2 linked regions of the Callithrix jacchus genome follow. The protein of the gene in region 1 interacts with the protein of each later gene in a biochemical or structural test. Links are inferred from orthologs where the notes say so. Each region holds a gene or a part of one and is shown in the gene's direction. Other genes may lie near its edges. The genes, in order: TRDN and CASQ2.

Region 1 (12,939 bases):
AATAAAATCCTTTGCGAACAAGCAAGTACTCAGAGATTTTGTCACCACCAGGCCTGCTTTACAAGAGCTCCTGAAAGAGACCCTACACATAGAAAGGAACAACCAGTACCAGCCATTCCAAAATCACACTAAATGCTAAAGAGCATCAACATAATGAAGAATCTACAACAACTAACGGCCAAAACAGCCAGCTAGTATCAAAATGGCAGTATCAAATTCACACATAACAATATTAACCCTAAATGTAAATGGATTAAAAGCACCAATCAAAAGACACAGACTGGCAAATTGGATAAAAAGCCAAAACCCTTCGGTGTGCTGTATCCAGGAAACCCATCTCACGTGCAAGGATACACAAAGGCTCAAAATAAAGGGACGAAGGAAGATTTACCAAGCAAATGGAGAGCAAAAAAAAGCAGGAGTTGCAATTCTCATCTCTGATAAAATGGACTTTAAAGCAACAAAGATCAAAAGAGACAAAGAGGGCCATTACATAATAGTAAAAGGATCGATACAACAAGAGGAGCTAACGATCCTAAACATATATGGACCCAACACAGTAGCACCCAGATACATAAGGCAAGTTCTTAATGACCTACAAAAAGACATAGACTCCCACACAATAATAGTGGGAGACTTTAACACTCCACTGTCAATATTAGACAGATCAACCAGACAGAAAATCAATAAGGATATTCAGGGCTTGAACTCAGAACTGGAGCAAGCAAACCTGATAGACATTTACAGAACTCTCCACCCCAAATCCACAGAATATACATTCTTCTCAGTACCACATCACACCTACTCTAAAATTGACCACATAATTGGAAGTAAAGCACTCTTCAGCAAATGCAAAACAACTGAAGTCATAACAAACAGCCTCTCAGACCATAGTACAATCAAGTTAGAACTCAGAATTGAGAAACCAACCCAGAACTGCACAGCTTCATGGAAACTGAACAACTGGCTCTTGAATGTTGACTGGATAAACAATGAAATGAAGGCAGAAATAAAGAAGTTCTTTGAAATCAATGAGAATGAAGACACAACATGCCAGAATCTCTGGGACACATTTAAAGCAGTCTCTAGAGGAAAGTATATAGCAATAAGTGCCCATATGAGGAGAATGGAGAGATCCAAAATTGACACCCTATCATCAAAATTGAAGGAGCTAGAGGAACAAGATCAAAAAAACTCAAAACCCAGCAGAAGACAAGAAATAACTAAGATCAGAGCTGAACTGAAGGAGATTGAGACACGAAAAAGCCTTCAAAAAATCAATAAATCCAAGAGCTGGTTTTTTGAAAAGATCAACAAAATAGACAGACCACTAGCCAGATTGATTAAAAATAAAAGAGAGAACAACCAAATAGATGCAATAAAAAATGATAAAGGGGAAATCATCACAGATTCCACAGAAATTCAAACCATCATCAGAGAATATTACAAACAACTCTATGCGCATAAACTAGTAAACCTGGAAGAAATGGATAAATTCCTGGACTCCTGTGTTCTCCCAAGCCTAAACCAGGAGGAAGCTGAAACTATGAATAGACCAATAACAAGGGTAGAAGTCGAGGCAGCAATTAAGAGCCTACCACACAAAAAAAGCCCAGGTCCAGATGGGTTCACAGCTGAATTCTACCAGACACACAAAGAGGAGCTGGTACCATTCCTTCTGAAACTATTCCAAATAATCCAAAAAGAGGGAATCCTTCCCAAATCATTTTATGAGACCAATATCATCCTGATATCAAACCCGGCAGAGACCCAACAAGAAAAGGAAACTTCAGGCCAATATCCATGATGAACATAGATGCAAAAATCTTCAATAAAATATTGGCAAGCCGATTGCAACAGCAAATCAAAAAACTTATTCATCATGATCAAGTAGGATTCATCCCGGGGATGCAAGGCTGGTTCAACATACGCAAGTCTATCAACGTAATTCACCACATAAACAGAACCAAAAACAAAAACCACATGATTATCTCAATTGACGCAGAGAAGGCATTCGACAAAATTCAACAGCCCTTTATGCTAAAAACCCTCAATAAACTCGGTATCGATGGAACGTATCTCAAAGTAATAAAAGCTATTTATGACAAACCAACAGCCAATATCATACTGAATGGGCAAAAACTAGAAGCATTCCCTTTGAAATTCGGCACTAGATAAGGATGCCCTCTTTCACCACTCCTATTCAATATAGTACTGGAAGTACTAGCCAGAACAATCAGGCAAGAAAAAGAAATAAAGGGTATTCAAATAGGAAAGGTGGAAGCCAAATTGTCTCTATTTGCAGACGACATGATAGTATACCTAGAAGACCCCATCGCCTCAGCCCAAAAACTCCTGAAACTGATAAGTAACTTCAGCAAAGTCTCAGGATATAAAATCAATGTGCAAAAATCACAAGCATTCCTCTACACCAATAACAGACTTAAAGAAAGCCAAATCAAGAACAAACTGCCATTCACAATTGCTACAAAAAGAATAAAATACCTAGGAATACAACTTACAAGGAACGTAAGGGACCTCTTTAAGGAAAACTACAAACCACTGCTCAACGAAATAAGAGAGGACACAAACAGATGGAGAAACATTCCATGTTCATGGTTGGGAAGAATTAATATCGTGAAAATGGCTATACTGCCCAAAGTAATTTACAGAATCAATGCTATCCCCATCAAGCTACCATTGACTTTCTTCACAGAACTGGAAAAAACCACCATGAACTTCATATGGAGCCAAAAGAGAGCCCACATAGCCAAGTCAATTCTAAACAAAAAGAACACAGCGGGGGGCATCACACTACAAGATTTCAACCTATACTACAAGGCTACCATAATCAAAACAGCATGGTACTGGTACCAAAACAGAGATATAGACCAATGGAACAAAACAGAGGCATCGGAGGCAACACAACATATCTACAGCCATACAATCTTTGGTAAACCTGACAAAAACAAGCAATGGGGAAAGGATTCCCTGTTTAACAAATGGTGTTGGGAAAACTGGCTAGCCATGTGCAGAAAGCAGAAACTGGACCCCTTCCTGACACCTTACACTAAAATTAACTCCAGATGGATTAAAGACTTAAACATAAGACCTGGCACCATAAAAACCCTAGAAGGAAATCTAGGCAAAACCATCCAGGACATAAGAGTGGCTAGGACTTCATGAACAAAACACCATAAGCATTGGCAACAAAAGCCAAAATAGACAAATGGGAACTAATCAAACTCCACAGCTTCTGCACGGCAAAAGAAACAGTCACTAGAGTGAATCAGCAACCAACAGAATGGGAAAAAATGTTTGCAGTTTACCCATCTGACAAAGGGCTGATATCCAGAATTTACAAAGAACTCAAACAGATTTACAGGAGAAAACCAAACAAGCCCATTCAAAATTGGGCAAAGGATATGAACAGACACTTTACGAAAGAAGACATATATGAGGCCAACAAACATATGAAAAAATGCTCATCGTCACTTGTCATCAGAGAGATGCAAATCAAAATCACATTGAGATACCATCTCACGCCAGTTAGAATGGCGATCATTAAAAAATCTGGAGACAACAGATGCTGGAGAGGATGTGGAGAAAAAGGAACACTTTTACACTGTGGGTGGGAGTGTAAATTAGTTCAACCATTGTGGAAGACAGTGTGGCGATTCCTCAAGGCCTTAGAAATAGAAATTCCATTTGACCCAGCAATCCCATTACTGGGCATATATCCAAAGGACTATAAATCGTTCTACTATAAGGACACATGCACACGAATGTTCATTGCAGCACTGTTTACAATAGCAAAGACCTGGAATCAACCCAAATGCCCAATGATAGACTGGATTGGGAAAATGTGGCACATATACACCATGGAATATTATGCAGCAATCAAAAATGATGAGTTTGCGTCGTTTGTAGGGACATGGATGAATCTAGAGAACATCATTCTCAGCAAACTGACACAAGAACAGAAAATGAAACACCACATATTCTCACTCATAGGTGGGTGATGAAAAATGAGAACACATGGACACAGAGAGGGGAGTACTAATCACTGGGGTCTATTGGGGGGAAAAGGGGAGGGCCAGTGGGAGGGGAAGGTGGGGAGGGATAGCCTGGGGAGAAAAGCCAAATGTGGGTGAAGGGGAGAAAGGAAGCAAAACACACTGCCATGTGTGTACCTATGCAACTGTATTGCATGTTCTGCACATGTACCCCAAAACCTAAAATGCAATAAAAAATTAACAAATAATCATAATAAAAATAAAAATATATATTATCTCTTTATTTTATTTTTATAATTTTTGAATTTTCTCTCATGAACATGTGGACCCAAAATCAGAAATAAAAGAGTTACTGGGTATAGAAAGATTTTCTAACCTCATTCTCTTAGATCTTCTGTGTCCCTACAAACAAACAAACAAACAAACATGAATGACCTCATTAGATGACCTCACTAGATGGGTCAGTTATGCAATTAAGTTAAAATATTCAAAAGTTTTATCCATTTAAACCATTTTATCACTCATTTTGATTTTCCCCTCACAGGACTTGGGAGATGAGAAATGCTGATTATATGAGCAAATGAGTTTGAAGGTGAACAGCAAATGCTGAAAAAAAGATAATGGGCTAGTAGTGGTCACAGAGGCTTTGTACTGCCACAAAAGAGTGGTGTCTGCTCTAGAAAGTGGTATAAACAGGTTCAACCCTCTTACAGTTAGTGTTTCTTGTCATCAATATTTAACGTGAATTTCTAAATTATATTTTCCTTCCTGAATGTTTGATTAGGAAATGCATCTACAACCACAACTGTCATAGACAGCAAAAATGGATCTGTGCCCAAATCCCCTGGAAAAGTGCTGAAGAGGACAGTCACAGAAGACATAGTGACGACATTCAGCTCCCCTGCAGCCTGGCTTCTGGTCATTGCCCTGATAATCACGTGGTCAGCTGTTGCCGTCGTTATGTTTGATTTAGTGGATTACAAAAACTTTTCAGGTAAGATCCATGAAATTTGGCTTTAAAATTAAAAGTAATTTAAATTGAAAGAAACAATGCTCCCTCTAAGTTCTGGCTGGGTTTCCCTTTCATCTCAGTGTGAGAAAGAAGGCATCGCACATATATGCTTGAGGATCATTGAAATCTGTTTTATTCTTCTCCCTTTCCTTCCATTCTGTTTGTCTGTTGTACTTATGACTTCCAATGAAATTGATATCCTCAATTGCAAGAGCTGAACAAAGGCTGAATGTTGCAGTTCATATAGTAGTTAAAAAGCTTGGGTGAAGATTTTATTTTGGAACTGGTACTTTATGAAGCGTAATAAGGAATAATTTGTAGGTTTTACACTTGGCAATATAAAATCAAACCAAAAGAAAACTTGACCAAATGGAGAATATTTTAAGGTCTTTTTAAGCCCCTCTGTCATCTGGTCCTAAGCTTCCTTGCTAGACAAATTCTTTGCTTCTCCCGCCAAGCCATCCTACATAGAGTTCCTGAAAATAGAGTTTTTCACAAAATAACATGTAATGAGATATTACATCTTCAGTGTCCACATGTTCTTATGACTTTGGAGTAAAATAGGACTAACACAAAGTAGAAAAGACAGATGTTCATTATAGCCTACCAACTCTTTGAGTATATTGCTCATTTTTTTTGGTCAAAGATATTTTACATATTTTAAACAGTATTTATCTATTTTCACATACGACACACTCTATTGACAGTGAATTCCTTAGGAAAGGAATCAGCCAAGTGCTCAGTAAATGTTAAATGACTAGATGAGTGAATTTATTCTCATCACCCTTTTACCACAAGCAAAAAATATTTCATTAACCTTTTAATGTGTTCTTTCATATATACTCTCCCCTCTCCTTTTTTCTTTCTCCAACAGAAGTAGAATCAGTAGGTCCCAGATACTATGAATACTATTATTTACATTCTATATATTCAGGGATCTCCTATTTCTCATTATGGAATTTTACTCATTCAACAATTACTTATCAAGTGTTTATGTGTCAGGAAATGGCTATGGCACAGATGTGAAGAAGAAATGTGATATAAAATTATGAAAATATAGAACTCTGTTATATGGGTTTATTGGCATAAAGGTGTAATATCGTTTGGATATGTGTCCCCTCTAATCTCATGATGAATTACAATCCCCAGTGCTGGAGATAGGCCTAGCAGGAGGTGACTGGATCATGGGGATGAACTTTTAGTGAATGGTTTGTCACTGTCCCCTTGGTGCTGTCCTCACAATTGTGAGTTCTCGTACGATCTGGTTGTTTTAGTGTGTGGCACCTGCCCCCTCTACTCTCTCCCTCTTGCTTCTTCTCTGGCCATATGATATGCTTGTTCCTTTTTCTTCTCCTTCCACCACTATTGTGAGCTAAGCCCCTCCAGAATCCAAGCAGATGCCAGCATCATGCTTCCTGTACAGCCTGCATAACTGTGAACCAATTAAAGATCTTTTGTTTATAAATTACCCAGTCTTAAGTATTTCTTTATAGCAATGCAAGAACAGCTTAATACAGAAAATTGGTAATAAGAGTGGGGTATTGCTATAAAGATACGTGAAAATGTGGAAGCAGCTTTGAAAGTGCGTAATGGGCAGAGGTTTGAAGAGTTTGGATTTCTCAAAAGAAGATAGGAAGAGGAAGGAAAGATTGAAACTGCTTAGCAACTGGTTAAATCGTTGAGACCAAAATGCTGATAGTGATATGGACAGTGAAGTCCAAGCTGAAGAAGTATCAGATAGAAATGAGGAACGTATTGGAGACCAGATCAAAGTTTACGCATTTTATGCCTTAGCAAAGATCTTGGATACATTCTGTTCATGCCCTAAGAATCTGTAGAAGTATGAACCTGAGCGTAATGACCTAGTGTATCTGCTGGAAGAAATATCTAAGCAGCAAAACATTCAAGATGTAGCCTGGCTGTTTCTAACAACCTGATCTAAGATGTGGGAACCAAAAAAACGACTTAAGTGGGGCCATGCTTGGTATCCCATGCCTGTAATCCCAGCACTTAAGAAGGCCTAGACGGGCGGATCACGAGGTCAGGAGATCAAGACCATTCTGGCTAACATGGTGAAACCCCGTCTCTACTAAAAATACAAAAAAAAAAAAAAAAAATTAGCCAGGCATTGTGTCACACCTGTAGTCCCAGCTGCTCAGGAAGCTGAGGCAGGGGAATTGCTTGAACCCTTGTGGTGGAGGATGCCGTGAGCCAAGATCATGACACTGCACTATAGCCTAGGTGACAGAGCCAGACTTGGTCTCAAAAAAAAAAAAGACTTAAAGTGGAATTTCTCTTTAAAGAGGATGAAGAGTATAAAAATTTGGAAAATTTGCAGCCTCACCATGTGGCAAAAAGAGAAAAAGCTTTTTTGAGAAAGGAACTCAAGCAGACTGGAAGCTTTTTTGAGAGAGAAATTCAAGCAGGCTGTGGAGCAACCATTTGCTAGAGAAATTTGCATAAAAAGAAGCAAAGTGCTGATGATAGCCAAGAAAATGGGAAAAAGGCCTTGAAGGGATTTCAGAGGTCTTTGCAGGAGTATTTCTCATCATAGACCCAGAGGTCCAGGAGAGAAGAATGATTTCCTCTGCCAGGCCCAGAACCCTGCTGCCCTGGTCAGCCCCAGAAGTGTGCTGTCTACATTCTCCCTGCTCTAGGTCCAGCTGTGGCTTAAAAGGCCACAGATGCAGATCAGGCTGCCACTCCACAGGGCACAAGCCATAAGGCTTGGTGGCTTTCACGTGATGTTAAACCTGCAGCCATGCAGAGTGCAAGAGTAAAAGAGGCTTGGAAGCCTCCACCTAGATTTCAGAGGATATTGGAAAGCCTAGGTGCCCAGGCAGAAGTTTGTTGCAGTGGCAGAGCCCTCACAGAGAACCTCTACTAGGGCAATGCAGGGGGAAAATGTGTGACTGGGGGACACACGCAGATTCCTCACTGGGGCATTGCCTAGTGGAGCTGTGGGAAGGGGCCACTGTCCTCCAGACCCCAGAATGACAGATCCACTGGCAGCTTCCACCTTGCACTTAAAAAAGCTGTACGCAGTTAACAATGTGTGAAAGCAGCCTCCAGGGCTGAACCCTGCAAAGTCACAGGTGTAGAGCTGCCCAATTCCTTGGGAGCCCACCCCTCATATCAGTGTGCCCAGGATGTGGGTCATGGAGTGAAATTTTATTTTGGAAACTTAAGATTTAATGGCTGCCCTGTGGGGTTTCAACTTACATGAGGCCTTAGCTCCTTTCCTTGAGCTGATGTCTCCTTTTTGGAACAGGAATGTTTACCCAATGCCTGTACTTTCATTGTACCCTGGAAGTAAATGACTTGTTTTGATTTTATAGGCTCATGGAAGGAAGGAATTTATTTCCAGATGCGACTTTGGACTTTAAAGTTAATGCTAGAATGAATTAAGGCTTTGAGAGACTATTGGTAGGGGGTGATTGTATTTTTCAGTGAAAGAAGACAATGAGATTTGAGGAGCCAGGGATAAAATAATATAGTTTGGATATATGTCCCATCTAATTGCATGTCAAATTGTAATCCCCAGTGTTGGAGGTGAGGTCTCTTGGGCTATTATTGTTTAATAGAGGTGGATTTTTGATGACTGATTTGGCAAATTCCCTTGGTGCTTTCCTCACAATAGTGAAGGAGATCTTGTGAGATTTGATTTTTTAAGTATGTAGCACCCCCTCACCCTCACTATCTCTCTTGGTCTTCCTCTGGCCATCCATGTGATCTGCTTGCTACCCCTTTGCTTTAACTTCCACCATGATTGTAAGCCCCCTGAAGCATTACCAAAAGCTGAGTATATGCCAGTGCCATGTTTCTGTATTGATTGCAGAACTGTGAGCCAATTAAACTGCTTTTCTTTATAAATTACCCAGTCTCAGATATTTCTTTATAGCAATGCAAGAAAGACCTAATACAAGGTGTGAATGAGATGAGTCTGCCAGCAGATCATTGGTAGCTAGAACTAAAATGGGCATCATCTAACTAGTAGAGCTAAGTCCCATGATGTCAGCAAAAGAAAAAGGGCTATTTATCCAGAGTCATAAATAGGCAATACACAATTTATTGTGTGTTAGAGGCTCTTAATATATATATATATATAGTTGAAATGTCTATAATGTAAAATTATGACCTAGAGTTTTAAGTAAAAAACACTTGGTTATCTTACTCTATGAAATTTTATTTTCCTTGAGCTTGCATTGACTAAATTATTTCCCTGTCAGATGAAATGCCAGTAACATAGGCATTGTCCAGAGAAATTAATTGTAGTGGTCCAGTGGAAACTCTACTGGGAACTATAAGTATGCCTTATATTTAAGTAATCTAATCTAAAAATCTAATTATAGGTTGCCATGCATTTTATAAAATAAGAACAAATTCCTTTCAATGATAATTTCTGTAGTATACTTGTACAATTTTTAACTTGACAAACATTTGATTTATATGCAATTCTTGAAATATGTGTATTACAAAAATGAAAGAACTGTATAAATTATGGCTTCAATAACAGTCTCAAAATGTAAATTATACTCTCATATTTTAATGTCAATTTTAATAAACACAATTCAAACTTTTGCTAAGGATTAATATTGTCATGATGAATCTTTAGTGCTAGGTGATAATCTTTGAAATATGTAATTGTTAATATTTACAAAAGAAGGTTAGTGGTGAAGAAAGTGTGCCAGAAATGATTTGGAAGGCCAGAAAGTGAAGCCAGCTGCCACTGGGTCTTCAGTTGATCTCTGAAACTTGAGAAAAGTAGGTAAATGCTGTGAAGCCATGAAAAGTTTGTTCATAGAGAAATAGAAATCTGTTTTCATAAGCATGTACTATACTGGATTGAGAAGAATTCTCTTCTGGGCAACCTTTACATTCCCTATTTTCAGAATTATATCTGATTTATGCATATATTTTCTACTAGTGCAGGAAATGCAGAATTGGCTTTTATTTGGGCTTCATTTAGATGATTTGGGTTCATTGTTCAGCTCTATGAACCTACAAGCTAACATGACTAGGAACTTATATTTTCTTGTCTGTGAAATGGGGATAACATCTTGCTCTCTATTCTGCAAAATTTTGACTTTGATTCTTCTTATCAAATGAGACAAATTTTAGGGCACCAAATAAACAGACTGGAAAAGATATTTCACCTATGCCACATTTCTTACTTAATATAACATCCAAATAATATTGATATGTATCTGTCAATGTTTGACACAGTTGCCAAAAGCTACTCTGATTTAGATAGAATAAGGGTTTATTATATGGTTTACAAATTCACGGCAGCTGATCAATCTATGTAAGGCTGTTGCAGTGCATCTGGTGTTGAGTGAAAAGTAGTCAGGGTGGAAATTGGGAAGGCAAAATGGATAGAATGGGAGGGACTAAGGACAAACTGAAACTGACAAAAACAAACTGGAGGACTTGTTTGTCTCTTACCAACACAAATTACGATTATGCAGATGAGCTGCAGGAAAAATTGATGCCTTTCCCCCACGGAACTGCAGGCGCGCTTGACCGGGATTTGGAGATGCTGAAGGAGCCAGCCCAGTGTGCACTGGAGATGTGGCGGCTGTTGCCTCACAACAAGGGCAACTAGACTCTCTGTGATCATGAGCTGCAAAAGCATCTGCCCTACACCAACCTTCAGATAACAATGGCTTCATTATTAATAAACAATGGCTTCATTATTACCATATTTGTGCTTTCCAAAACTTGTAGCAATTTCTTGTCTCCAACTGTTATCTGAAAACATGCATGTAAGGGAATTCTGGAAAAGAGTTCCAGCTTTGTGTATTGACGGTGAACAAGCCTTCATATGGGACAACTATATAATTTAACAACTGAAATGGGATACTTGTGAGAGTGAAATGGAGAGCAATTAAGATTTACCTCAGGATATCAGGGACAAACCAAGATGTATAATCACTCTGTTATCCATATTGACTTTAGTTCTTTCCTCAAAGAAGAATGTTTTCAAAACCCTAAGTGGGAATTGGGGGACAGAGAAACATTATTATCTTAGTAATTGGGGTTAGGGAGTTACAAAGGCTGCTGGAGATCTTCCCCCAAGCTTCTGCAGACTCAGCCAGAAAGACCCCCTTCTCAGAAAATGGAGGGGTGCCTGATAATGTATTCTGGTCTTCTGGGGCCAAAATTTGTAAGCTTTGGTTTAAATTTTTACAAATTTCTTTTGTTTTATTTATGAAGTGACAACTTTCTTTCTAAACAATCAGAAGTTCAAACAAATAGGATGTATAAAGAAATCACTACAAACTATGGCATTAGTGGATGTTGATAATTTTCCTCTAGGTCAGAATGTACAGCAATAGAGTGTGGTAACTCTTAGCTTTTCATGCCTAAGTACGAGGATCATCATTTATTAGCACCCTCATCCAGGAGAGGAAAACATTATTATATGGTTGTACCACTGTGTCTTAAAGAGTATCTGGTAATTTTTGCAAGCATTCCACAAAATATACCTATTTCAAATCAATTTTGTAAGACTTAAATACAATAATCTATGTAAAACATAACGTGCCTTGCACATTGGAGGGACTCATTAAATGTAACTTGAATTTGAATCTTATTACTAGGAAGTAACAACAGTAATCTGAGAAGAGAGCCAGCAAGGACATGATGGTAGGAAGCATCAATTTCTTATGAAAAGACTTGCAGACATCTCCTGATGTGCCTTTTAAATAGATTTTCTAATGAGGTGTGCCATTTATCTACTGCTCTTGGAAATTAATTTTCCTGACTTTTTTTCTTTTCTTGGCACTTAGCCCAGTTAAGCAGGTGCACTGTGTGTCAGGCTACAAGCTTAGCAGAGTAAAATCATTTAGGGAAGGCCCAAAGTCAGTCAGAAAGTATAAATTTAACATTTAATTTTACACACACACACACACAAATATGTTAATACTTTTAGGAAACATGGAAGACTGAAACACTAAATGCAACATTTTAGACTCTATCAACTCTTACGTGTACTGAGTTTTCAAGAAGCACATTTCGAGCGTTTCTTACTCTGATTCAAATCTTATCTCAAATCCTGCATTTTCTGCTCACTGCCCCAGGCCTATTTGGTTCTCTTGGTCATTACACCTAAAAAGATGCATTTTACTACCCAACTTCAGTCTGTCTATGAGTACCTGAAGGAAGCAAAGAGTTCTATAATTCAGTATTTCCCAGACTCTAATAAAAAGTGTATTGATTCTTCATGAAATGAGGAAAAAGATAAAGAAAAAATTTTATTCATTTTTAAAAAGTGTTCTAATTCTTAGATTATATTTTTCCTACATCTGTCATCTTAAAATTCTCTTTTGACATTGTGGTAAAACCAGATATTGTTTTTATAATTGTTTTTAAATGTGAATTTTGCAAAATAAAAAGTTGGCAGTTCTATATCACATCTCCAGATTTTGGTTAGTGGTGGATTTCAGGGTCAAGAAATCTAAAAGTCTGAAATCAATGCTCTATACCACTCATTTGGACCTTGACAAATAAGCTCTCATATTGGTATTTATGAATTTATCTGTAAAAATTAATGTAGTTATAAATTGCACCAGATGTTATTATACCCTACTTTTATATTTGTTACATATCCTACTTTTTGAAAGCCTGGTCATTGCAAATCAGTGTTATGTAGTGCTCTGCTTAAAGGTACTTCTATAAAGAAACCTTTCCTGAACCTCCAATGAAAAGCAAGTTACCTTATCATTAATTTCTCATCATATTATTTACTGTTTTATTATAAAACTTATTATAAAATATATGTTTAATTGGGTGTAATTTTTTGATATCTCTCTTCTCCACTGATTTGTTAGGTTTGTATGGAAAATACTTTGTCTATTTCATTTAATTGATTTTTCTAGTGCTTAGAACTTTGCACAAAGTATGAGCCCA
Region 2 (12,939 bases), on another chromosome or scaffold:
CTAGGAATGCAACTAACAAAGGATGTAAAGGACCTCTTCAAGGAGAGCTACAAACCACTGATCAAGGAAATAAGAGAGGACACAAACAGATGGAAAAACATTCCATGCTCATGGTTAGGAAGAATCAATATTGTGAAAATGGCCATACTACCCAAAGTAATTTATAGATTCGATGCTGTTCCCATCAAGCTACCATTGACCTTCTTCACAGAACTGGAAAAACCCATCTTAAACTTCATATGGAACCAAAAAAGAGCCCACATAGCCAAGACAATCCTAAGCAAAAAGAACAAAGCTGGAGGCATCATGTTACCTGACTTCAAACTATACTACAAGGCTACAGTAATCAAAACAGCATGGTACTGGTACCACAACAGAGATACAGACCAATGGAACAGAACAGAGGCTTCAAAAGCAAAGCCATACATCTACAACCATTTGATCATTGACAAACCTGACAAAAACAAGCAATGGGGAAAGGATTCCCTGTTGAATAAATGTTGGGAAAACTGGCTAGCCATATGCAGGAAGCTGAAACTGGACCCCTTCCTTACATCTTATACAAAAATTAACTCTAAATGGATTATAAGATTTAAACATAAGAACTAACACCATAAAAACCCTAGAAGAAAACCTAGGCTACACCATTCAGGACATAAGTACAGACAAGGACTTTATGACTAAACCACCAAAAGCAATGGCAACAAAATCCAAAATAGACAAGTGCAATCTAGTTAAACTTAAGGTTCTGCACAGCAAAAGAAACAATCATTAGAGTAAACTGGCAACCAACAGAATGGGAAAAAAATTTTGCAATCTACCCATCAGACAAAGGGCTAACATCCAGAATATACAAAGAACTAAAGCAGATTTACAAAAAAAAAAACCAAACAAGCCCATTCAAAAGTGGGTGAAGGACATGAACAGACACTTTTCAAAAGAAGACAAATATGCGGCCAACAAACATATGTAAAGATGCTCATCAACACTGATCATTACAGAAATGAAAATCAAAACCACATCGAGATACCATCTCATGCCAGTTAGAATGGCGATCATTAAAAAATCTGGAGACAACAGATGCTGGAGAGGATGTGGAGAAATAGGAACACTTTTACGCTGTTGGTGGGAGTGTAAATTAGTTCAACCATTGTGGAAGACAGTGTGGCAATTCCTGTCTAAAGGACCTAAAAATAGAAATTCCATTTGACCTAGCAATCCCATTACTGGGTATATACCCAAAGGATTATAAATCATTCTACTATAAGGACACATGCACATTTATGGTCATTGTGATGCTGTTTATGATAGCAAAGACCTGGAAGCAACCCCAATGCCCATCGATGATAGACTGGACAAGGAAAATGTGGTACATATGCACCATGGAATACTATGCAGCCATAAAAAAACGACGAGTTTGTGTCCTTTGTAGAGACATGGATGAATCTAGAAACTATCATTCTCAGCAAACTGACACAAGAACAGAAAAGCAGATACTAAATGTCTTCACTTGTAGGCGGGTGATGAACAATGAGAACACTTGGGCACGGGGAAGGGAACAACACTCACAGGGCTAGGTTAGGAAATGGAGGGGAGGGCAGGGGATGTGGAGGGAGAGTGAAGGGGACTGGGAGGATGGGGAGGGATAACACCGGGAGAAATGCCTGTTGCAGGTGACAGGTGGCGGGGGTGGATGGAGACAGCAATCCACCATGGCATGTATCTACCTATGCAACAATCCTGCAGGATGCAGGATGTGCACATGTACCCCAGAGCCTAAATACAATTAAAAAAATAAATAAAGAAAAAAATGATATGTTATGAATGTGTATTAATTTTATCAGCCAAGAAAAGTAATAAAATAATTTTTCAAATGTTTAAAAAAAGATGAAAAGATTATGATATTGAATGTTTGCAACACACGAAAAATGATAAATGTTTGAGGTGATAGGCATGCTAATTAACCTGATCTGATCACTATACATTACATGGATCACAACATCACTCTGTACCCTATGAATATGTACAATTGTTACTTGTCAAATAAAAAAAGAAGATGAAATGACACAACTATGGAGTGAAAGAAAATACTTATAAACCATATATCTGAAAAAGGACTGCTATTAAAAAAAAAACTCTCAAAATTCAACAACCAAAAAGCAATCCAGTTAAAAAATGAGCAAAAGATGTGAACAGGCATTTCATAGAAGAGAACATACATATGGCAAATACGCACATTTAAAAATGCTCAACATTGTTAGCCATTAGGAAAATGCAAATTAAAACCACAATGAGATAGTACTACATACCTGTCAGAATGACTGAAATGAAAAATGCTTATGTTACCAAGTCCTGATAAAGATGTGGAAAAACTAGATCATTCATACCTTGCTCATGGGAAGGTGAAATAATACAGCTACTCTGAAAAATAGTTTTGCAGCTTCTTTAAAAACTAAACATGTGACTACCATACAACCCAGTAATTATACTACTAGACATTTATCTCAGGGAAACTAAGACTCAAAAACCTGTACACAAGGTTTATAGCAGCTCTATTCATACTAACCAATAACTGGGAACAACCCAGACACCCTTCAATGAGTGAATGATTCAACCGACTATGGTACACTCATGCCATAGAATCCCATAAAATAAAAAAGCAATAAAAAAGAAATGATGTAGTGATACATGTAACAACCTGATGAATCTCTACATAATTAAACTGAGCGAAAAAAGTCAGTCTCAAAAGGTTACATACTCTATGATTCCATTTATGTAACATTCTTGAAATGACAAAAATTATAGGAATGGAGAACAAATTAGTGGTTGCCCAGGGTTAAAGAGGGGATGGGGACACAAACCAGTGGGTCTGACCATGAAGGACAACAGAGGGATCCTTGTGGCGATGGAAATGTTTTGTATCTTAACTGTATCAATGTCAATATCCAATTTGTGACGTTGTACCTCTGTTTTGCAAGATGTTACTATTGAGGGAAACTAGATGCAATGTGCAAGATAGCTCTCTGTATCATTTCTCACAATTACACATTAATCTGCAATTATCATTTTTTAAAGTTTAACTTAAAAAAAAAGCAATATTAATATTTCATGATCTGTCTAGTAGCATCTCCATTCTGTTTCCGTTTCAAGCCCCTGCTCAAACAGATGGCAAGAATTAGCTATCAGTCCTGAAGTAGCAAGTACACCCAACTTGCTCATATCTACGTTTCAGGAAGCTTGACATAATGCCAGCCTTGTGCTGGGTGTCACCATCTATGCTGGTGTCTACCCAGAGTAGTTTTCATCTATCTGTCCGTCCAAGACAGTGCTGCATCCTCCTGGCCTTTGGAGCTGAACCCCTGACCCCCGATACTCTACCAGTCTTACTGTGCTGCAGGAAACCTTGAGAGGACATCTCAGGTCTACTCACCCAGTGAGCATTCCTACTTCACAAGCCCAGGAGTCGGGGAAGTGAGGGGATGCTTGGATATTGAGGACATAAGACTCCTTTATTCTTAAGTCCTCTTGTGTTCCCACTCTATTCCAGGTACATTTGGCAGCTAGAGAAGGGCTCAGGGTCTCTTATCAATCATCCATGCTTCCTGATTCTTCTCTCTCCTGATCCAGATTTTTTCTACTCCGAGGGCAGAAAATGGTGTGTAATAGTGGATATATTCTTCCAAATGTTCTGTCTTAGGCCTGCTCCTCAGATGCTTCCTCTTGATTCTCAGCATTCTCCTAAATCATCCTCCTTAGGGGACACGAATACATTTCCTTTGCTGCGGTTGACTTGGTCACACAGTAGTAGAAAGTATAGAGAAAAACCCTTCCGTTGATGTATGAGGATAGTAATCCTGTAGTATTTCCTACCATCTTTCTGCCCTTAGCGCATTTATCTTTCCATTTGTTCCTTCAGCTTGTGGCCCAGGTCCTTGAACATAAAGCTATAGGCTTTGTGATGGTGGATGCCAAGAAAGAAGCCAAGCTTGCCAAGAAACTGGGTGAGTGTGACTTTTCAGATACAGTATCTCTTACACTATGTGGGAAAGAAACGAATGTGTCTTGCAAAAAGAATAGTGCAGTTGCAATGACTCTTGCATGAGCGAACTGTCTTTAAAGATATGTTACATGATCCTGCATGCCTTCGTCTTTGGCCGGAGAAGGGTTTTATAAAGGTAAACACAGGCCTGAATTGCATGGTTTCACATGAGTCATGTAAGCGATTGTTGTATCAGTACAATGAAGAAGACTTCTTCCTGGAGAAACACGCTCAAGAGTCAAGCTTTTGCTTGCAGCTTCCACAGCAAGCTGAAAGGCCAGCTTCTCTTGTCTCACCACTGTGGTCATCTCTCTCAGAGAGTTAAAAAACCCTCTTCTTTCATCACAGATTATTTCGTTGCCTTGCGACTGAAGCAGCCAACAAAACATAGTATTCATGGTAATAATGCCAGGGTAACGGTGCTTTTTAAATGTAAGGCTAACGCCCAGCTGGGCTTTATCACTGAGGACGAGAGGGAGGACAGAGGTGAGGATTAGTTAAGCGACCACATAATGGAAGTTGTGCTCTCCTGTGTCAATACGTCACACTTAAGTGCAGTGCACTTCAAGATTCACAGCCTCGCGATCTCAAAGAGAGAGAATGTTGGTAGCTCCTCCGGTTTTCTTTTCCTTTCTTTTCTCTTTTCTTTTTTTCCTTCCTTCCTTCCTTCTTTCTTTTTCTTTTCTTTTCTTTTTTTTTTTTTTTTTTTTTTTTGAGTCAGGGTCTCTTCTTACTCTGTCACCCAGGCTGGAGTGCAGTGGTGTGATCTTGGCTCATTGCAACCTCTGCCTCCTGGAATCAAATGATTCTTGTGCCTCAGCCTCTCAAGTAGCTGAGATTACAGTCACATGCCACCACACTTGGCTCATTTTTTTGTATTTTTAGTAGAGACAGGGTTTCATCATGTTGGCCAGGTGGGTCTTGAACTCCTAACCTTGAATGATCTGCCTGCCTTGGCCTCGCAAAATGCTGGGATTACAGGTGTGAGCCACCACTCCTGGCCTGTTCCCCTGATTTTCACACACTGACACACATGTACTGCCCATTTGGCTTTTTCTGCATGATCAGTGAAGAATGGCTGTTTAAAAAAAACAGCAGGTTATAAAACAGGACCTTTGAAGAAAGGTTAATCAGATTTGGAGTAGTAAGTACAGGAAAAAAAAAAAGTTAGTGGTGGTCCAATACAGGCCTTCAGGTACATGAAAGTCCATTATCCTGCAAAATTACAGACAACTGTTTCCTGTTTTATTTTCAAGAAGACCAGTCATTTTCAAAAAAGATTTAAATTATAGGAGACTATTTAGGTTAGACGTAAGAAAGAATTCATGACTATAAAATTATAATGAGTTATTAAGAATGTCTGGGCACTTTGGGAGGACAAGGGCAGAGGACTGCTTGAGCCCAGGAGTTTGAGACCAGCTTGGGCAACTCAGTGAAACCTCATCTTTACAAAAAATTTAAAAATTCACCAGGCATCGTGGCATGTGCCTGTAGTGTCAGCTACTTGGGATGAGAGGATGGCTTGAGCCAGGGAGGTCAAGATTGCAGTCACTTCCACCTGCATGATTCTGCCACTGCACTCCAGCCTGGGCAACAAAGTGAGACTCTGCCCCAAAATAAATACATAAATAAATAAAGCCTGGGATGCCTCTTTCCCTAAAGACATATTAAGGGATATTTTTCTCCCTCGAATATGGGAGCAAAATATGTTAAATTCTTTCCCTAGAGTTAAAAACAATTTAATGAATTCTGCCTCCTCCCCCAACAGTCTCTTGATTCCTCTTCTGCCTTCCTATTGCTTCATGAGAAGCTAAGTTTGGGAGAATTTCCAGCAAATTTAGTTACATAAAAAGCTAGTGTCCCAGTGATCAAAACATTTTGGGTGGACAAGTTGAGCAAGTATACATAAAAATAGACTGGCAAAGAATATGAGGGGCTTGATACATTGAAACAAACTTTTCTCCAAGCTCAGCTTGAAAGAGTTGGGGCAGGTTCCTTCTTGCTGTTTAGTCCCTGGTTTACAGGACAGCGGAGGTATTTTGTGAACCTGCTTCTTCATCTTCATTCCTCTTCCCTTTGCCTTATTTTGGCCTCTGTCAGATTGTGCCTGAACAACTGCAGCAGCCTTCTAACTGTGGTTTTGCCCAAGACAAAATCTGACAGCAGGATACTGGCTAATGCTCCCTAGGGCACCTTTTGAGATCAGCCATCACTGACATCAAGAAAATCTGGCAGAACCGGACACGATGTCCCATGCCTGTAATCCCAGCGCGTTGAGACCAACCTGGGCAACATAGCCAGACCTTGTCTCTTAAAAAAAAAAAAAAATTAGCCAGCATGGTAGCACATGCCTGTAGTCTCAGCTCCTCAAGAGGCTGAGGCAGGAGCTGTGATCATGGCCCAGCAATCCAACCTGGGTGACAGAGGGAAACCATGTCTCAAAAAGCAAAAACCAAACAAACAAAAAAGAATACCTGGCATGTTGCTCCTTTTGATTTACAAATGGTGCCCCCACCATTTCCCCCCATGTGCCAGGGGCTCCTTATACATCATCTATGGCTTTGGACGCAACAGGCAGCAGTCCAGCCTTCCTGTCCCTGGAAGTTCTGCAGAAGAGTTCATTGGGAGAAAACATTCTCCAGCTAATAGTTTTAAAACAGTCTAAAGAATTAAGGATGCCATGCAGTTGGACCAAACGCCAGCTTTGGCTATTTAACATTCCTGGGGAGAAAAATACAGTTTTCCAACAAGCATTTGTTATGGTACACAACATCAGACCAAGGGTGTGCCACAAGGCAGAAAAATAAGAAGATGCTGAGCCTGTCCTTGTCATACCTACTAGCCAACCGGGTAAAGAAGATGTGTGGGATTCAACCGGAACGGGAAGCAAGCTGTCCATCCTGGCCGCACGCATTAGCAGGGTGCTAATACACCCAGGCGCCGTACGAGGCACTGAGATACCAGTGACAATGATCCCACCCTCAGAGAACTCACTGTGATAGTGAAGGCCTGTAAATTGAGTTAAGGAAAGATCAATAACGGTATGGGCTCAGTGAGACTGAGGTGACCTTTCTTAAGAAAAATGAATCCTAATCTGAGACCTGAAGAAGCTAATCAAGACGGAGGTCATTCCAAGCTGGGGAACAAGGAAAACATAAGTCTGGAGAATAATGCTCTGTGACTTTCCTGCCACCCACCCTTTCATATAAGCAAGTGGGAAGGAAGCACAGGGAGTTGCACAAGGGACAAGAGAGCAGTTCTCAAAGGAGCATGGGTCTACCCAAGGGAGAATGAAAGGGACAGAATTGGAACCAGATTTTGGAGGGACTTTAATGCAAGGCTAAGGAGCCAGGTGGGCGGTGGCCACTAAAACTCTTTGATAAGGAGAATGACACGAGATCAGCTGTAGTTTTGGAAAACTAAAGCAGTGGTGGGGTGGAGAATAGACTTTTAAGTTGAAATCCAGGTGGAATTTTTCTTGACTATTTCCAATTAAATGTCCACTTCAGGAGCTCTTCAAAAGTGTTATTTTAGGGGAATTGATTCTTGGGTTAATGCTGGTTCCACGAATCCTGAACCCACTGTCACCCAGAAACCCTGAGCCAGACCTCAGCCAATGCAATGTCTCGTCCTACATCAGGATGACCCTCTCTGTGGGCCTCTTTGTTTCTCACAGGTTTTGACGAAGAAGGAAGCCTGTATATTCTTAAGGGTGATCGCACAATAGAGTTTGATGGCGAGTTTGCAGCTGATGTCTTGGTGGAGTTCCTCTTGGATGTAAGCATTTATGCACAGTGACCCTGCATGGAGCTGTCTCTGCTCCAATATATGGAGATAGAACCTCAAAGAACAGAAAAGCCAGAGAACCTGACCTCGTCTGTGACAGGATTTTCAGGATTCACAAAAAAACTAAGGAGCACCTATATTATTGCACTGTCTACTGGGAAGCTGATCTTTAAGTCACCCTAGAAACTGCTGGGGACCATATAGTAGTAATATGCTAATTCTCTTACCAGTGATACATATTAAAATTTCCTTGGCTTTGCTCCACTACTGCTGAAGAGGAGCTGGGAAATGTGGGGAGAGAGGGGGATAACCAGAGAGGGGGGACAGGAGTATCAATCAGCCAGGTCACCCTGAGTTAACTACCCTCAGAGCAACACAGAGAAGTGGCAGAGCTAATGAGCCTCCCGATATCACACTCATTTTCAGCCATGAACTTACCACACACTCATATCCATATGCTCAGAGAAACAGAGGAACAAGCATTATAAAAATATTTCAACCATAGATAAACTCACACTTTCAGTAACTGCTGTGAAGTCCAATGCTTTGAACACATGTTCTTGCATAGATAAAGGACCTGCTGTTGAACATCCGTGCCGACCATTCCTTATCTATCAGCTAGAACTCGGTGGTCTATAGTTCTTTCTCTACAGTGTCAAAAACCAGAGGGAAGGTCAGAAGTGAGTTGGAAGCTACGTCTTACCAAAACCGTGCCATCTCATGACCCATTGTGCTTGGCCATCTCATTGACCCACACCCACAAGCCCTAAAACAGTTGAGGGGGTGACAACTCTGGGACAACATGGTGCTGCCCCAGCCTGATCAGCTAGGAGGAGGCTTTTGGAAATAAGACTGACCACGTCAAACAGTAAACAAGGCGACTGACTCAGATAAATAGAAGCCTCCATTAGGGCAGACTTTACCCTTCATCAAATCCAGACACTGGCTCCATTTTTCTCTGTAAATCACAGATAACTCTGTTTTCAGTATGTTGCCTGTGTCCTCAAGCTGACGATTCTCAATGTGAGCTATAAGATGGCCAGAGCAGGAACCAGCACATCACATTTCCTCATTCATGTTCCATGACAGAAAAAACAAATTTGGCTTCCCATTGCCCTTTTAAGTGTAAAGAGCTTCTCCCAAAGCCTTCAGCAAATCTGTCCTTATTGGGCTAGTTACTTGCCTATTCCTCAATCAATAACTGGCAAGGGAAGTTATGAGATCCACCTAAATATCCAGCAGATGAATGGATAAAGAACGTGTAGTATATACACAAACGAATAATATTCCAAATGACATTTCTTGAAAAAAAGGAAGAAATGTCATTTGGAACTATACAGGTGGAATTGGAGAACATTATGCTAATTGAAATAACCGAGGCACGGAAAGACTAATAGCACATGTTCTCACCTATGATATGTGGAATCACAGAAGCAGAGACTGGATGGGGGCTGGGAAATGGAGAGATGATGGTAAAAGAGTGCAAAGCCTCAGTTAGACAGGAGGAATACGATTCATTCTTTGAGATATATTGTAGAGCATGGTGAATATAACAAATAATATGTATTACACATTTCAAAATTACTAAAAGAGTAAATTTCAAATGCTCTCACCACAAAAAATGACGGATAAGTTAATTAGCTTGATTTAATTATTTCACCTTGTATTTATAGATCATAGCAACACTTTATATCCAATAAATACAAGTATAATTTATCAATTTACAATTAAAAACTGGTTTTTAAAACTGGCAGAAGGAATAGGTTGCCCCCACCAATCATCTCATTCTTTGAGCTAAGGTCTAGTCCTCAGAAGGTACTGCCGTATGCTCACTGGGGGTTTGTGGGGAGAGCAGAATAGGTATTTGAGGCACCACCCACAAAGTCTGCTACGACTTCCCTCCAACACACTCTATTTTCCCAGTGGAGAAGGAAATCTCTTGTTTGAACATATTTTTGTGTGTGTGTGTGTGTGTGTGTGTGTGTGTGTGTGGCATTTCAGCTAATTGAAGACCCAGTGGAGATCATCAGCAGCAAACTGGAAGTCCAAGCCTTCGAACGCATTGAGGACCAGATCAAACTCATTGGCTTTTTCAAGAGTGAGGACTCAGAATGTAAGTTGTCTGCCAACCCCAACCTATCAGTCTAAAGGCTAGATTTCCAATAAGGTACCTCAAAAGGGATGGGTCTTCAGCACCTCTTTTGCTGGGTAGAATTCCCTCCTGAGCCTAACACTGTGGAGCACATGTGCAAAAGTTATACAAAACAGTCAGGAAAGCTGAAAGAATATTAAGGTGGGGCCAGGTTCTCTGGCTTTAAAGCAGGCTGAGTGGTCTACAGAAGGGAGAAAAGCCCTTCTTCACTTTTCCTGCCCACCCACCCCTCAGTCGGATTCTCCCCGACAATGGGACAAGCAACGGGCTATCTCCCTGGCATTGGCAGCTCCTCTGGTCACCAGATGGAGAACTTCGCAGTCAATTGGAAAGCATGAGTGGAAAATTGGGGTAGGGATGGGTTTAGTAGCTGCTACAGAGTGTGAAAAATCGCTGGCCAAGGCTGTAGCTGACCACCAAGGCTGCCTGCCGTAGTGCAGCCACACCCTTGGGCATATCCCTTGGAAAGCTTTGTGACCAGGTTTCGGGTGGACACAAGGACTTATGATAGCATCAGCACAGCACAGCCCATATAGAGATGAGAGGGTGGTGGGGGTGAGTCAGGAAGATCAGGAAGAAGGGACCAGGAGGAGTTAGACTTAAGTACTGTACATATTTAAAAACTGCTTTGGCAGCGTGGGTCCAATGAAGTAGGCTTTTTTTTTTTTTTTTCCAGTGTCTCAGCCTTGGAGAGAGAAAAAGCCTTAGAGGGGGTGAACAGAACTCTGGTAGCATTCATACAAGTAGGAAGTGCAAGCGTGGGCTGCTTATGACTATTTCTGGGAACCCCAAAATATTCTGAAGTTGTTTCCAAGCCCATTTCTTTAACCAGTCTGCCTGCTAGTATCCTTAGTCACCTCTTCAACAACCCATTCCTTTGCTGTCTCCCACGCCCCAACTTAACCCTGTCCTCATTTGCTTCCTTCAAACCTCCGTTTACAGTGCTTAAAATGAATATGCTAGAGGGAGGTAGCTAGCCAGGAAGATTTGCCCCAGTTCGTCTTCAAGCGACTTTATTTTAGTTTGTACATTTGCGTATCAGTGCTGACTGCTCTGGGGTGCTTCTCCTGCCCCTTCTTTTTCAGTTCCTCCACCTCAATTTGTTTCCATCTTTACATTTCTCTATCCTCTTCATCCATGTAGCTCAGGATGGCAGATAAATGGGAGGCAAAGCCAAGGTTAGGATAGAGAGCACACCTCCCAGTACCTTTCTTTCCCACCTGGATGAACAATCATAATAATACTAATTAACACATTTCATATGCCAGGGCCTATGCTAGGAGCTTCTATGGATGCCTTAATTTCATTCTCACAGCAAGCCTGTGAGGTGGTTATCATTATCATCTGCTTGTTACTGATGATGGAAGGATGGAACTGAAAGGTGCAATTCACCTGCCCATTATCACACAGCTAGTAAATAGTGGAGCCAAGACTGAGATCCTCGGAATGTGACTTTAGGGTTTATACACTTAACTACTGGGCTATATTTTCAAGACTTTGTAAACTTAGGTCATTGCACATATAAAATGCGATAATGCTTGTAGAGTATAAAATGGAAGTAAACATGAAGGAATTGGGCTTCGTGAAAAAATTAACTTTGCAGTGTACAATAAGAAAATATCATGAAATATATTACACATTGCATTGTAAAATTTTTCCAATTAAAAAAAAATTTGAATGAGAATGTTATGCTTACTTCAAGAATATAGCTGTTTTTTGAGATCTAGTTTTTCTCTGTTGCCCAGGCTAGAGTGCAGTGGCATGATCTCAGCTCACTGCAACCTGTGCCTCCTGGGATTAAGTTATTCTCCTGACTCAGCTTCCTGAGGATTATAGGTGCCCGCCAAAACGCCTGGCTAATTTTAGTATTTTTAGTAGAGATGGAATTTCACCAGCTTGGTCAGGCTTGGACTTGAACTCCTGACCTCAAGTGATCCACCCGCCTTAATCTCCGAAAGTGCTGAGATTACAGGCATTAGCCACCATGTCCAGCCTAGAATATAGCTTTTAGATATTAGCTTTTATGTTTAAATAACAACATGAAATTCCTTATCCAGATTTTAAATGACGATCTCTTCAAATTCTTAATGATCACCATCGACAAGAGACTTCACTTGTATATGTGGATGGTGACAAAAGGGAGGATAATATCCATTGCTTTTTCTTTTCATTTCTTTTTTTTTTTTTTTGAGACTGAGTTTCACTCTTGTTGCCAACGCTGTAGTGCAGTGGCGCAGTCTCAGCTCACTGTAACCTCTGCCTCCCTGGTTAATGTGAATTTCCTGCCTCAGCCTCCTGGGTAGCTGGGACTACAGTCACCTGCCACCACGCCCAGCTAATTTTTTTGCATTTTTAGTAGAGATGGGGTTTTACCATGTTGGCCAGGCTGGTCTCGATCTCCTGACCTCAGATGATTCACCCGCCTCAGTCTGCCAAACTACTGGGATTACGGGCGTGAGTCACTACGTCTGGCCTGCTGTTTCTTAGACTGACGAGCATTCTTTTTCTGCCATCGGACATAATGCAGAGAATTCCACCTCTAAAGTGTCCTTTAGGGCACTTAATTCAATCTGACAGCTATTCCTTTTCTTTCATTGACAAATATAATGTTTGTATTCTTTATAATAATTTGAATGAATGTGAAAGGGTTACAAATCCTAATTAAATTTTTTTATATCATAGTATTTCAAAATAATGAAGCTTTTCCTTAGGAATACACAGATATTGCTCTACTCATCTTAATAATTGTTCTTAAAATTTAAATAATCAAATTGCAAGTGAGTCACTTTAACCTCTTTTTAAGGTGGGATTTTTGTTTTTAAATGTGTAAACTTTGTTAGTACATTATATATTTCACCTGGTCCTTGTAATTTTCAATTAAGTACATTCAGGTGGGTGTTTCGCAAGGTCTAGCCTTTTTTGAAGCCACTAATGATCTCTCGAAATACTTTCAAAGTAAGTA

What was found.
Region 2: the proteins of TRDN (region 1) and CASQ2 form a complex in vitro, tested with the Homo sapiens proteins (3 studies listed by BioGRID). The link is inferred for Callithrix jacchus from reciprocal best matches to the Homo sapiens genes TRDN and CASQ2.

What each region holds. Positions count from the first base shown.
Region 1 is NC_133505.1:130,109,983-130,122,921, reverse strand, and holds part of TRDN (triadin), read left to right. Parts: intron 1-4,800; coding exon 4,801-5,010; intron 5,011-12,939. UniProt on the Homo sapiens protein: Contributes to the regulation of lumenal Ca2+ release via the sarcoplasmic reticulum calcium release channels RYR1 and RYR2, a key step in triggering skeletal and heart muscle contraction.
Region 2 is NC_133508.1:153,731,753-153,744,691, reverse strand, and holds part of CASQ2 (calsequestrin-2), read left to right. Parts: intron 1-3,916; coding exon 3,917-4,001; intron 4,002-7,715; coding exon 7,716-7,816; intron 7,817-9,826; coding exon 9,827-9,938; intron 9,939-12,939. UniProt on the Homo sapiens protein: Calsequestrin is a high-capacity, moderate affinity, calcium-binding protein and thus acts as an internal calcium store in muscle. Calcium ions are bound by clusters of acidic residues at the protein surface, especially at the interface between subunits.